Schizosaccharomyces pombe: one gene and its partners. The protein of the gene in region 2 purifies or fractionates together with the protein of the main gene of each other region. This does not show direct contact. Each region holds a gene or a part of one and is shown on either strand. Other genes may lie near its edges.

Evidence for each region.
Region 1: the proteins of rec8 (region 2) and rec11 purify together in Schizosaccharomyces pombe (affinity purification with western blotting; 3 studies listed by BioGRID, with this or other methods). This does not show direct contact.
Region 3: the proteins of rec8 (region 2) and psm3 purify together in Schizosaccharomyces pombe (affinity purification with mass spectrometry; one study listed by BioGRID). This does not show direct contact.

Annotation. Positions count from the first base shown.
Region 1 is NC_003421.2:1,225,343-1,229,100, forward strand, and holds the start of rec11 (meiotic cohesin complex STAG protein Rec11), read right to left. Parts: upstream 1,627-3,758; 5' UTR 1,584-1,626; coding exon 1,319-1,583; exon of another isoform or gene 1,253-1,318; coding exon 1,140-1,252; intron 1,125-1,139; exon of another isoform or gene 1,055-1,124; coding exon 956-1,054; exon of another isoform or gene 907-955; coding exon 557-906; intron 513-556; coding exon 368-512; exon of another isoform or gene 311-367; coding exon 1-310. Other genes in the region: G1/S-specific B-type cyclin Cig1, read left to right, coding at 2,203-3,450.
Region 2 is NC_003423.3:2,566,979-2,570,736, reverse strand, and holds the start of rec8 (meiotic cohesin complex kleisin subunit Rec8), read right to left. Parts: upstream 1,800-3,758; coding exon 1,744-1,799; intron 1,735-1,743; exon of another isoform or gene 1,701-1,734; coding exon 1,513-1,700; exon of another isoform or gene 1,461-1,512; coding exon 1,364-1,460; exon of another isoform or gene 1,312-1,363; coding exon 62-1,311; exon of another isoform or gene 22-61; coding exon 1-21. Other genes in the region: atp7 (F0-ATPase subunit D), read right to left, coding at 2,509-3,036; oxidative stress transcription coactivator/ribosome recycling protein Oxs1, read right to left, coding at 3,572-3,661. UniProt on the Schizosaccharomyces pombe protein: Involved primarily in the early steps of meiotic recombination. Required to ensure reductional chromosome segregation.
Region 3 is NC_003424.3:1,222,985-1,226,742, forward strand, and holds the start of psm3 (mitotic/meiotic cohesin complex ATPase subunit Psm3/Smc3), read right to left. Parts: upstream 1,875-3,758; 5' UTR 1,853-1,874; coding exon 1,838-1,852; exon of another isoform or gene 1,795-1,837; coding exon 1-1,794. Other genes in the region: rio1 (RIO family protein kinase), read left to right, coding at 2,615-2,741, 2,827-2,952, 3,055-3,758.

The DNA of each region.
Region 1 (3,758 bases), on a different chromosome or scaffold from region 2:
AATTTGCGTAGCGTTCATTAGTATGGGCAACGAGGATTCGCATTGTCGAGATTCGATTCTGGGGCTTCCCGTCAAATATGCAGCTAGAAACAATATTGATACATTTTCCATTCAACGATATTTTCTCCATCAGTTTCTCGCATGTCTTGAGGGCAACAGATCGAACAGAATCAATATCGTACCGACATATCTCCACAATTCTTAACGAGAATCTGTCAAGAAAATCAACCACAAAATCTTGATCTTTTTCAGGTTCATGAGAAGAAAGATAATCTATTATTTTTAAGGAGATTTTTCGGATTTGTGATTCCTATACGTTCAGTTAGTATTTAAATGATACAGCAGTAGCGATTGTTTATACACTTACTGCATCAGATAACCCCCAGCCAGAATGTCTAATCAAATTTCTGTTTATAAGATAGGTGGGAAGCAATTGGCAACAATCATATAGAGCAGTAACACACACTATACGAATGCTTGCACGTATATCATGAATCCTTGAGAATAGTACACTAGTAAAAAGGTTAGAGTCGTTAAGAAAAGTAGTATTGCCAACCTATCACAAATGTCGTGAATCATGTCAATGAACCTAGATGTTAAGTCTCTCAGTACCAGAATTTCCGCAGTTTGATTTGATTTTTCGGAAAGTTTGTTTACTATAAGGCATAAGCATCGCATGATATCACAGCAAATAGTTGTTGCAGTATGTCTAACAAGCATCCAAGGACTTGTCGTCATGGTAAAAATCCAAGCTTTTGTAGTTTCCATGAATGAGTCTCCGAGGAATGCGTCTTCCACGTAAACTTTACTGATGAATTCGACCAAAAAAAGCTGAAAACGAATACGCACCGTTTTAGCTTCTTTAGAGTTAGAAGTATAAAGATAATCAGTATAAGCGCAAGAAGACTAGCGATATGTATGGTAAGTAAATATTACAAAAAGATGATGCACACACCTTTTGAAAACTTGAACGATTGACCTGAGACAATGTTTCAGGAATTGAATCTACGTCCTGTACATCAAAGTTCGTAACGAAGGGTTGACAACCAGAGGCCTATGAATTAGTTTACGTTTCAAAGGAAGAGTAAACAAAACAGCAAAAGCTAGAAAACGTCGCGGATCATTCCTGCTAAACTTACAACTAATGCGAAATTTATAAAGGTCAGCATGAAGTCAGCGCTATTACTTTTATAGTCTTCAAAATAATGTTGAGAAAGTTGCTCGAGCGGCATATCTATATCCAACAGTTTGACTTTTCGTATGCTTGTTAGAATATATTATCGAAGACTTTTTTTCTCTTATAAGCAAGCAAACTTACGAAAAAATTCTTGTGGAAAGGCATAATCATGAGAATTTACGTGCATCTCTTCATTCGTCTCTATTTCATTATTTTCTTCATTCTCCGTCAAAGAAAATTCATCTTGTGTTCCCCATTTCCGCTTTTTTTCTGAGGGCGAGGCACAAATGCTGACATTCTGTAAACTTGGACCTTCATATTCAACATTTTCAAGCTCCACGCTTTCTAATTCAGTAAGGACTTCATTGAGATGACTGCTTGCATCTGATTCAAATTCGAATCTCATTGAAATCACTCAATTAATTGGTACGATGGTGGTTGGTTATGGCAAAGATTAATCTAACAGAAACGATGGGTTTGTTTACGTGACACGAGTCGCGTCAGTCAGTCATTAATTATTTTGCAGTTCACATACAACCATTGCAATCAAGTATATAATAATTTATTAAAGTTTTACTTTTGAAACATAAAGTAACTAATTTATGAATAAGAACGCGTTTTTACTCGGAATTTCGGGCTTTTCCCTGACCCCTTTTGAGAACCCACCAACTCCTTTTTCTCATTAGTAGTAGCTCGGTATTCCTTTGCAAAGTCCTACTCCAACTTTTGGTTAATACTCTTGTTCGTTGGTTTCATTTGAGATTTTTAGTTCTTGTACTGTTGTAGTACTAATCTTTCTGGTCAATCCAAAAGATTACTTTCCTCGAATCCTTCGTTCAATAGTATCTTCATATATTTGGGTGTAGAGTCATTTTTTCGAATTTTTAGAAGTCGAAAAGCATCTAAATTTTTAAGGATCTTTTCCAAAGAGAAGACTAGGGTTCCTACCTGAGTAAAAGGCAGTTTGAAAACCGACTTTCATCGCATGTCCAAAACTTTCTAAACAAGTGTGTGCTGGTTTACTAATGGACGTTTCGACTCAAACAAGACACGCAACATATTTTCAAGATGAGAATCAGCTACAAAAGGATCACATTTATGTGAAGAAGAAAAGTCACATCAAGTTAAATACGGGTGTTCGTGCACCTTTCAAGGCAGTAGATAACATCAATCAACAAGATGAACCAACATTGATTGAAGGGAATAATGAATCCTCCATCTCTTCGTCCACTGGCGACACTTTTGAAGAGGATTTTGCATACCAGGACAAAGTCGAGATAGAGGAACGGTCAATTCGCTCCACTCCTAAGTCTATTGGAGATGATGATTTGGAAAACCGTGAGGGCAGCTTTGACGCACCTGAAGGAATTCTTACACACGGGAAGCATAGACTACCAACAATTCCCGAGTGGACCAAGGAAGATTTAGCCGCCCTGTCTGAAGCTGCTGCTCGATTACAAGCTAACCCATCGCCTGAGGATATAGAAACTGATCCATCCATGGTACCAGACTATGATCCTGAGATATTTCACTACATGCAATCTTTGGAAAGGAAGCTGGCTCCACCTCCTAATTACATGTCAGTTCAGCAAGAGATTGACTGGGTTACAAGACATATGCTTGTTGATTGGATTGTGCAAGTTCAAATACATTTTCGTTTACTTCCTGAGACATTATTTTTGGCGGTAAACCTTATCGACCGGTTTCTTTCCATAAAAGTCGTATCTTTGCAAAAAGTCCAGTTGGTAGGTTTATCAGCTTTGCTGATTGCCTGTAAGTATGAAGAGATACACCCTCCAAGCATCTACAACTTTGCGCATGTTGTCCAAGGGATCTTCACCGTTGACGAAATCATTAGAGCCGAGCGCTATATGCTGATGCTTTTGGATTTTGACATTAGTTGGCCAGGGCCCATGTCGTTTTTGCGTCGTATAAGTCGAGCTGATTCTTACGATCACGACATTCGCATGCTCGCCAAATATCTTCAAGAAGTAACCTTGATGGATGAAATTTTTATAGGTGCCCATATTAGCTTCATTGCTGCTACTGCCTACTACTTGTCTATGCAGATGTTGGGTCATTTGGATTGGACTCCTTGCCATGTATATTATAGTGGGTACACGGCTCGTCAATTGAAACCGTGTGCCATAATCATTATGGAATGTTTGGTCGATGCCCCTAACCATCACAATGCCATTTACCGAAAGTACTCGGAGAATAGAATGAAGCGAGTTAGCGCCTTTGCTCACAACTGGGTACTAAGTGTGATTTGAGTTTGCTTTCAGAAGTTGTTAACAATGATATTCTGAGTTAGTTTGCTATTATTAAGCCTACGATATTTATTATTACGGATCATTGTCTTAATATTTCCTACAGCAATCACTCGAGGGCATTTTATATCTTACCTAAGGTAGTAGTTTTTCTCCACTCCGTTTGCTAAGTTTGTCGTTTAAACCACCCCTATTATCCCCCAGAGACTTGGAACTACTGTCTATTTTATAACTATCTTTCCGAATTCCCTCTTCCATCTTGTTTTCTATATCTTTTACTATACTTAAATAACGTTACGGGTATCTCTATT
Region 2 (3,758 bases):
ATGCAGACTTAGTTGCTAGTGCTATTGTTTTGTTAGTTCGTGGTTTGATTGTGATACTTACACAGTAAATGGCTAAATGCCTGGGCCACTACAGGTCGTTTTAAATCATTGGGTAATAAGCTTGAAAATGTTATGCGCCCATTATTTTCATAGATAGCCGTTTTTGCATACTCATAAAAGTTTGCGCATTCTTTTTCCATGCTCAACATTAAATGTGCATTTTCTTCTTGAGTATTTTTGTATAGTACGAAGTCATCAGAGAGTTGTAATGAAAGTTCTGAGTTCAGAGTTTCATGAAATTGACTTGATTCTAAGGCAGGAAGAAATTCTACCCTACTCGGCATCGATGGGCTATGCGGCAAGCGCTTCCTATATTTAGTGTCAAGCAAGGGGGTGGAATGCTCACTACCAGTTTGAGAATGGCTTTTAGAATTTATGGCACTGTTTGATCGAGATGAAGTATTCCAAGGTATGTTTAAACCTAATTCACCCTGAACATCCCGTCCAACTTCAACTTCAGAAGTATCAATGTTCCTCAATACATCGTCAATTTCAGAGGGAGTATTGTTTGATGGTTTGAGCTTTTCAATCCATGGTTTTAAAAGAGGATGGAAAGATTCCCAATCAAAGAATTTGTTCAATTCTTTCTTCTTTGCCGAAGAAGCTCCTCTACGACGAACATACTTTGTTGCTTCCAAAGCAATCATTCGTTCAACATAATTCTTTCTCCATTGGGACAAAGTTCGAGTAGACAGTTCTATGTTTTCATCTGGCTCCAGCAGTTTTTGGACCTTTCTTCTTTTTAAAGCTCGCGGTTCATTTTCATTATGCTCTGAATCCATAACAGATTGCAATGGAACGGGTAACGGTAAAACGTCCTCATCGATTTCGAACATGTGAATCCTTGATTCTTGTTCTTCACTATTGTATTCTCTTTGAACGGAACCAAGATTGCTATGTTGTGAAGCAGCTTGTAGCGACGGATCCGAATTTATAGTGCCCTTGGTCAATTCCTGGATATCCCCGTTTTCATCAAACTCAAAGTCAAGGGGCTCTTCTGTAGAGAAAGCTCTGGAGTCCTCGTAAACAAAGCTCGAAACATTGTTTCGTAAACTATAATTTTGGCTGGTATTGATCAAATAAGAAGTAGAATCTGGAAGAGTTTCAAGAACTGAAATATTGGGATTTTCCTTGGGTTGAGTGAAAGAACTCATGTCAACATGTAGATCCACAGAAGGTAGATTAAATGCATCGTAGAGACTAACTTCAGGGATAAATGCAGGATCTTCTGCGAGTAGTAACTGCTTTGGGCTAAAAGGTTAGCAATTTGAATATCTGTCATATTATCCAATAGTACTCGTACTTCGTTTGTTCATTCTGAATATCGATATTCTTAAACGGTTTTGAAGTGAAATGGTCCAATTCTTTTCGAACACGTAAATGAAGAGTTGAAACTTGGGCTAAGCATAATTAGTAAGAAAATTGCCAGCCTAAACTACTGTCATCACATACAATGGAAAAATGAGTATTGATGGGCCCATACACGCGTTACACCAATCATTAAATTACTACTTAATCGTAGTGCCAACGGTTCTGGAGAAAAGGCAACAAAATCGCAAGCTTCATCGATATCTACCGACATAATGTCTTTCTTGTGAAGCTTGCGTAATGAATGTTTTGAACCCAATGTAGCAGCGAGCCTATAATTATTAGCTTTATTATTATCTTGTAGTAAATCTATACCAAATTACTCCCATTCCTCCCTTTTCCTTTGTAAGAACATCTTGATTGTAAAACATGGTGAAAGACAGGAACGCGTTAGTTCACCAGATAGCTTATTAAACGCGTCAAAATTATATTTGAAGTTCAAGCATAGAAATACCGCATTGTTAAACCATATGAGCTAATCTCACATAAAATCGTTATTAACGAATACTTAACAGCTCGGCACATGTTATCCAACGTATACTGCAGTGAAGTCTCCATTGCTAATATATATTGTCTTATTAAAATCTAAGTAAGGATTGAATATTTAAATATCATTACTTTGATTGAGTCAAAACACAATGTAATGGAAGCTAATGATTAATAATTGAGCTAAGATATGTGATTTTAGTGCCCTTTCAATCTTGAGCTCTCCTACCAAGGTATCCATAGTTAATATTGTACAAGCAATTTCATTATTGTGCCACTAGATCGAATAGAGATTATACGAATATAACAAAACTTAACGTAAGTTGACATAGCTTATTAAAAGATCGTGGAAATTTTTAACGCACTATTATGCTGTGAACGATGTTTGTATAATAGGTTAAATAAAGTCATTCAAGTTGTACTAAGAAGTTTGAAACTCAATAAAAGAATTTTAATAATAATGGTTAAACATTTCAACATACTGCTTGAAACCATTCATAAATACCGAAATTTTATCTATCTTTCAACTGACATTTATTTGTATTGATAACACATATGATTGCTAGTTATAAAATGTTTCATTAATGGAGCAAACTACATAATACTCAAATCACCAAACTTTTCACGGTAGCCTGGGATGACCCATTTGCCCTTGGTAACCATTGTTTCAACAATCTTCTCAATTTCGGGAACTGCTTGTTTCATATCCTCAATGGTAATTTCTTCAGTAGGCCTAGCTTGTTCAATGTTCTTCAATGTAGCACTCAAATTCTGTAATTCAGCTTTGACAAGTTCGACATTCTTCTTAGCACCCTCGCTAGCTTTTGCTTCAAATGCATTGATCGCTTTGAGTTGCGAATTTAAATCAATCTTCACAGGTTTAAAAGATTTCATAGAAGACTCAATACGATTTACAATCTCCTTGTTGGCTAAAACACTACGATAGGTAGCAAAGTCGACTGTGGTAGCCTGCTCTCGCAATGTACCCAATTTGGCAACTGCCTGAGCATGACGAGAGCGAAAATTAGCAATAGCAGAAGCAGTTGCGGCATCAAGCTTCAGCTTGCTAGCTACACTAGCCCAATCAATCGCCTTTCCAGCAGCGCTAGCAACTTTCGACATTTGCGTAAATAAAGAAGAAAAAATTCAAAATTCAATAAAATAACAGTTATATTGTTAAACAATTTAACTGTCTTATAAATATTTCCTGCTTTTGGTTATGTGTTGAAGAGATGGGGGTAGTTGGGGAACGGATGATTTAGCATTGCCAGAGCCATATTGCCAGGTGGTTTGGCTTTCAGCAGTAGGCTTCCTTAATGGTTCAAAAAATATCATATAATTGGGTAAATGAAAGCAACAAGTACAAAATTACTACAAAAAAAAAAATTAAGCGGTTAGAATAGAACTTGTGCCCTACAATTAGTATACGCTCCACTCATTCTTGTGCTAATAGAAATTCAAAGTTAGCTGTAAATTTTGATTTACCGGTGTATCACCAAATCACTTTGTACTTCTCATGTTTAATTTAAGATTTCATTTTTGAATGTCGAGAAAAATTATTTAGTAATTGGTTTATTGATAATTTATAAATAATATAAAAGAATTACCATAGTAAAAAGGAAAAAGAAAAGTTCTAAACATATTGCCATAACTATAGTTACTCGCGTAAACGTGCTTCCAATTCTGCTTTACGAGCTTTACGAAGCTGTTCAACCTCATCTTGACTAGTGTTATAGCTCACATTCATCTGAAATTGTTAGTAAAAATGATATTTACAATGGTTTTCCTGTTTAGGGTTTATACATGATATGGTCATCATCAAAAAGAGTATGCATGTACCCTTA
Region 3 (3,758 bases), on a different chromosome or scaffold from region 2:
ATATTGAATTAAAGGTAAAGCATCACTGGCATCAGGATAAGTAACCGCCTTTGGACGAAGCTTGTTCAAAGGCATGAACGTAACTCTACCGGCATTTTCTTTATATATAACGTCAAGAATTTGAGTTGCGGTTTCATCGTTATCTACCACGATATGAAATAGACTGTTCCCAGCAGTAGCCTCAACAGCGACCTTGAAACGGTTATCAACCTTGAAAAGCTCACAAAGTGGACCATAGTAACCTTCGAGTTTCAGACGTTCAGCAATGTCTTTGACAGCTCTAATACCATTACTTGTATTCCGATCCATTGTAGTCCCCAAAGCCTTCTCAGAACGAGAAAGATCGTCCTTAACATTTTCGATAGACGACTTAAGTTTGGCTTCTTCTCTCCACAGAGATTTCCTTTTGTCCGTCAAATTTTCTTTCCTTTCATTAATTGAAGTAATGTTAGCAAGTAGTTGCGACATTCGATCACCTTGAGATTCAAGGGAAATTTCAATTTCCTTTTTACGAGATAATTTTGCTTTGAGTTCATTTTCCATTTCGTCATACTCAGTCTTCAAGTAATCACTGTTCTCCTTTGTAGAATTAATGTTACGGTTGATCTGTAAGAGCTGATTTCTGATCCATTCATCACGTTCTTTTTTGGTAGTGAATTGAGAAGTCCTCGATTGCTTGTCCAAAAGTGATTGCTTCTGATTTTTGAGCAGCATGATTCTTTTATTAAGATCATCAGCTTCAGATACTATAGCGTTATACTTTGGAAGAATTTCTGAAAGCTCATTTTCTTTCTCAGAGATTTTTGACTCTAATTCAGAAAGTATGTTGAGCTTTGAGCTCTCATCTTTCTTCGAAAATTCAATTTGACGTGATAATTGAGAAGACTGTAATTCCAATGCGACTTTACTTTTCATAATATTGGTATAATCCTCATCGTTTTGCTGTTTTTCAACACGTAAAAGCTCAAGCGAGTGGTTGAGCTCTGTAATTTCAGCCTTAATTCGTTCAATGCGTTCCTCTCTTTGAATGAAAGCACCCGAATCATCATCATTACGCTCAAGTGCAGCTATCCGGTCTTGTTCTAAGGCATCCAATACGGAGTTAATCTCATCATGCTCGCGAGAATAAATAGCATATTCCAAGCATCTTCTTTCGTTGTCTTTTTTGTGATAAACTGCAAGATCGTTTTTCTCCTCTTCTAACTCACGCAACCGTTCTTCAATGTATTGCAAAAGTTCATCAATTTTCTCCGATTTTTGAATTGTCTCGTCCATAATTTTATTGGATTCAGCTCTTCTGTTCTCATAAATTTGAGTACCTGCAACCTCTTTTAAAAGTTCTAAACGCTCTGAATCCTTTGCATTGGTTAGGGATGTGACCCTTCCTTGAGGAACAATGTAGTAAGGATTGGATCTTGAAAACCCAGCAGACTCGAGAAGATTAATAACCTCTGTCTTGCTTACAGTTTTCTTATCCAAAGAGTATTCGTCTTTTTTCAATCCAATTGTACGACGCAAGACAACTTCGCTTTTACCGGTGGGAAATCGATTATCAGCATTAGCGAACGTAACTTCAACGTATGCGCTCATGACAGTTGCACCAGGGCCTTCATGCAGCAAAGCTTGTCTTTCTTCACGGCTTAAATGTGTATACGCATCACTTAATACGAATCGAATTGCAGCAAAAAAATTGCTTTTACCAGATCCATTTCGTCCCACAATTACATTGTGGTGAGGGCTTAAAGGCTCTATTACAGTATAATCTTTATAAGATTTAAACCCTTGAATAACAATCTTAATAAATCAGTTAACTGGGGTTCTATAATGCTTTACTTACTTTTGTGATATACATAGATTTGTGGTTGGTTTGGGTTAAAGTATTTACGCGTCGCGTGTCTTCTTTATGGCGTGTAAGTATCAATCTTTGTGGTAACAGAGTTCTAAGAATCTACAACATAATAATTCATTCATACTAACCAAGATGAGAAATTCTTTGAGTTGTTGATGTTGATTTTGTTATGTTTTTTCTATATGAAACTGTATTAACTGAAGATCGTTTGCTTTTCTCTTTACTGCCGCATCAATTTCCAAATATAATATTTCTTTATTAAACTACTGGGAATGCACAATCAAATTGGTAGAAAGCGCGCTAGCTTAATTGAGTATGTGATTTTTTAGATGCCAAGTATGCATTAGTGTTAAATAAGCAAGCTGCTCTTGAGCGTCAGCGTTTCAGTAATGAATTTAAAAAAATGCATATATGAGCTTATGTATTGTTTCTTTTCTATCTGACTTTTTATTGTCAAGCTTTAATGAGGAAAGCCGCTCACACTAACATTAAATGTCTTTTGGAAATGTAATATATATTTTATTGATCGAAGAATGGAAAAAATATAATCCACTAAATTAAAAAAAAAATCATTGGTTTGCAAAAATCATCTTGTAACTTATGGTAATCATAATTTGCTAACTTCTTACATTTTTATATACCAGTTTTATTTACAACAAAAAGTTTTTACTACCACCTACAAAATACAAAAACTTGGATTTGTATCCAGTTCTTTGTCAAATTTTTAAATAAATTATTCTTTTATTGATTTATTTAAAGTTTAAGATGGTTGAGGAGTTAAAAAACGATGCACAGACAAATGAAGAAGAATCAGAATATAGCGACTTTAGTGATGGCTCTGACAATGATTACTTTAGGGAAGACGATATAGACTGGAATCAAGCTTCTTCAAGTAAGTTCATATACTGAATAGCCAAAAGCACTTTGCATGAATTTTTGTTACCATTTTTCATGATCATTAATAACATTTTTACTAGATTATTCTGCTAGACAGGAAAATTTTGGGAATAATTCTTCTAAGATCAATTCAGTTAATGATCACGTTTCTACGCTTAGTCGTTATGTGAATAATATAAAATTAAATGACAGGTTTGAGGCAGAGGGTAAGTGTAATATAGTTTAACTGCTCATAGGTTTTAGAACTCGAGGTCTTTTGATCCTTCACACTTTTACATTTTCATGTTTAATAGTACTGACAAATAAAGACAAGTCATCTATCAAGGATAAAAGTGACCGCGCTACATCTGAACAAGTGCTGGATCCCCGTACTCGAATGATTTTATTAAAATTAATAAATAATGGAACTATATCAGAAATTAATGGTTGTATAAGCACGGGAAAGGAAGCAAATGTGTATCATGCAACAAACGAGGATGGTAAACATTTTGCTATAAAAATTTATAAGACTTCAATCTTAGTATTTAAGGATCGTGACCGCTATGTTTCTGGAGAATTTCGTTTTCGTCATGGGTATAACAAGCGCAATCCCCGAAAAATGGTACGCTTATGGGCTGAAAAAGAAATAAGAAACTTGAAGCGTGTGGCTGCTGCTGGTATTCCTTGCCCAGAGCCAATCTTATTGAAGCAGCACGTTTTGCTTATGTCGTTTCTGGGGGACAAGAAAGGATGGGCATACCCCAAGTTAAAGGATATAGATATGACGCCTGGTGAGGCTACTAAATTATATCAGCTTGTAGCACGGAATATGCGTATTTTGTTTCATGTTTGTCATCTCGTGCATGCTGACTTGTCAGAATATAATTTACTTTATCATAAAGGTAAAGTTTATTTTATTGATGTATCACAATCGGTTGAACATGACCACCCGCAGAGCATCGATTTTTTAAGAATGGATATTTTAAACATTTCTACATTCTTTAGGCGTTTGAATGCTGGTTGCTTATCTTTA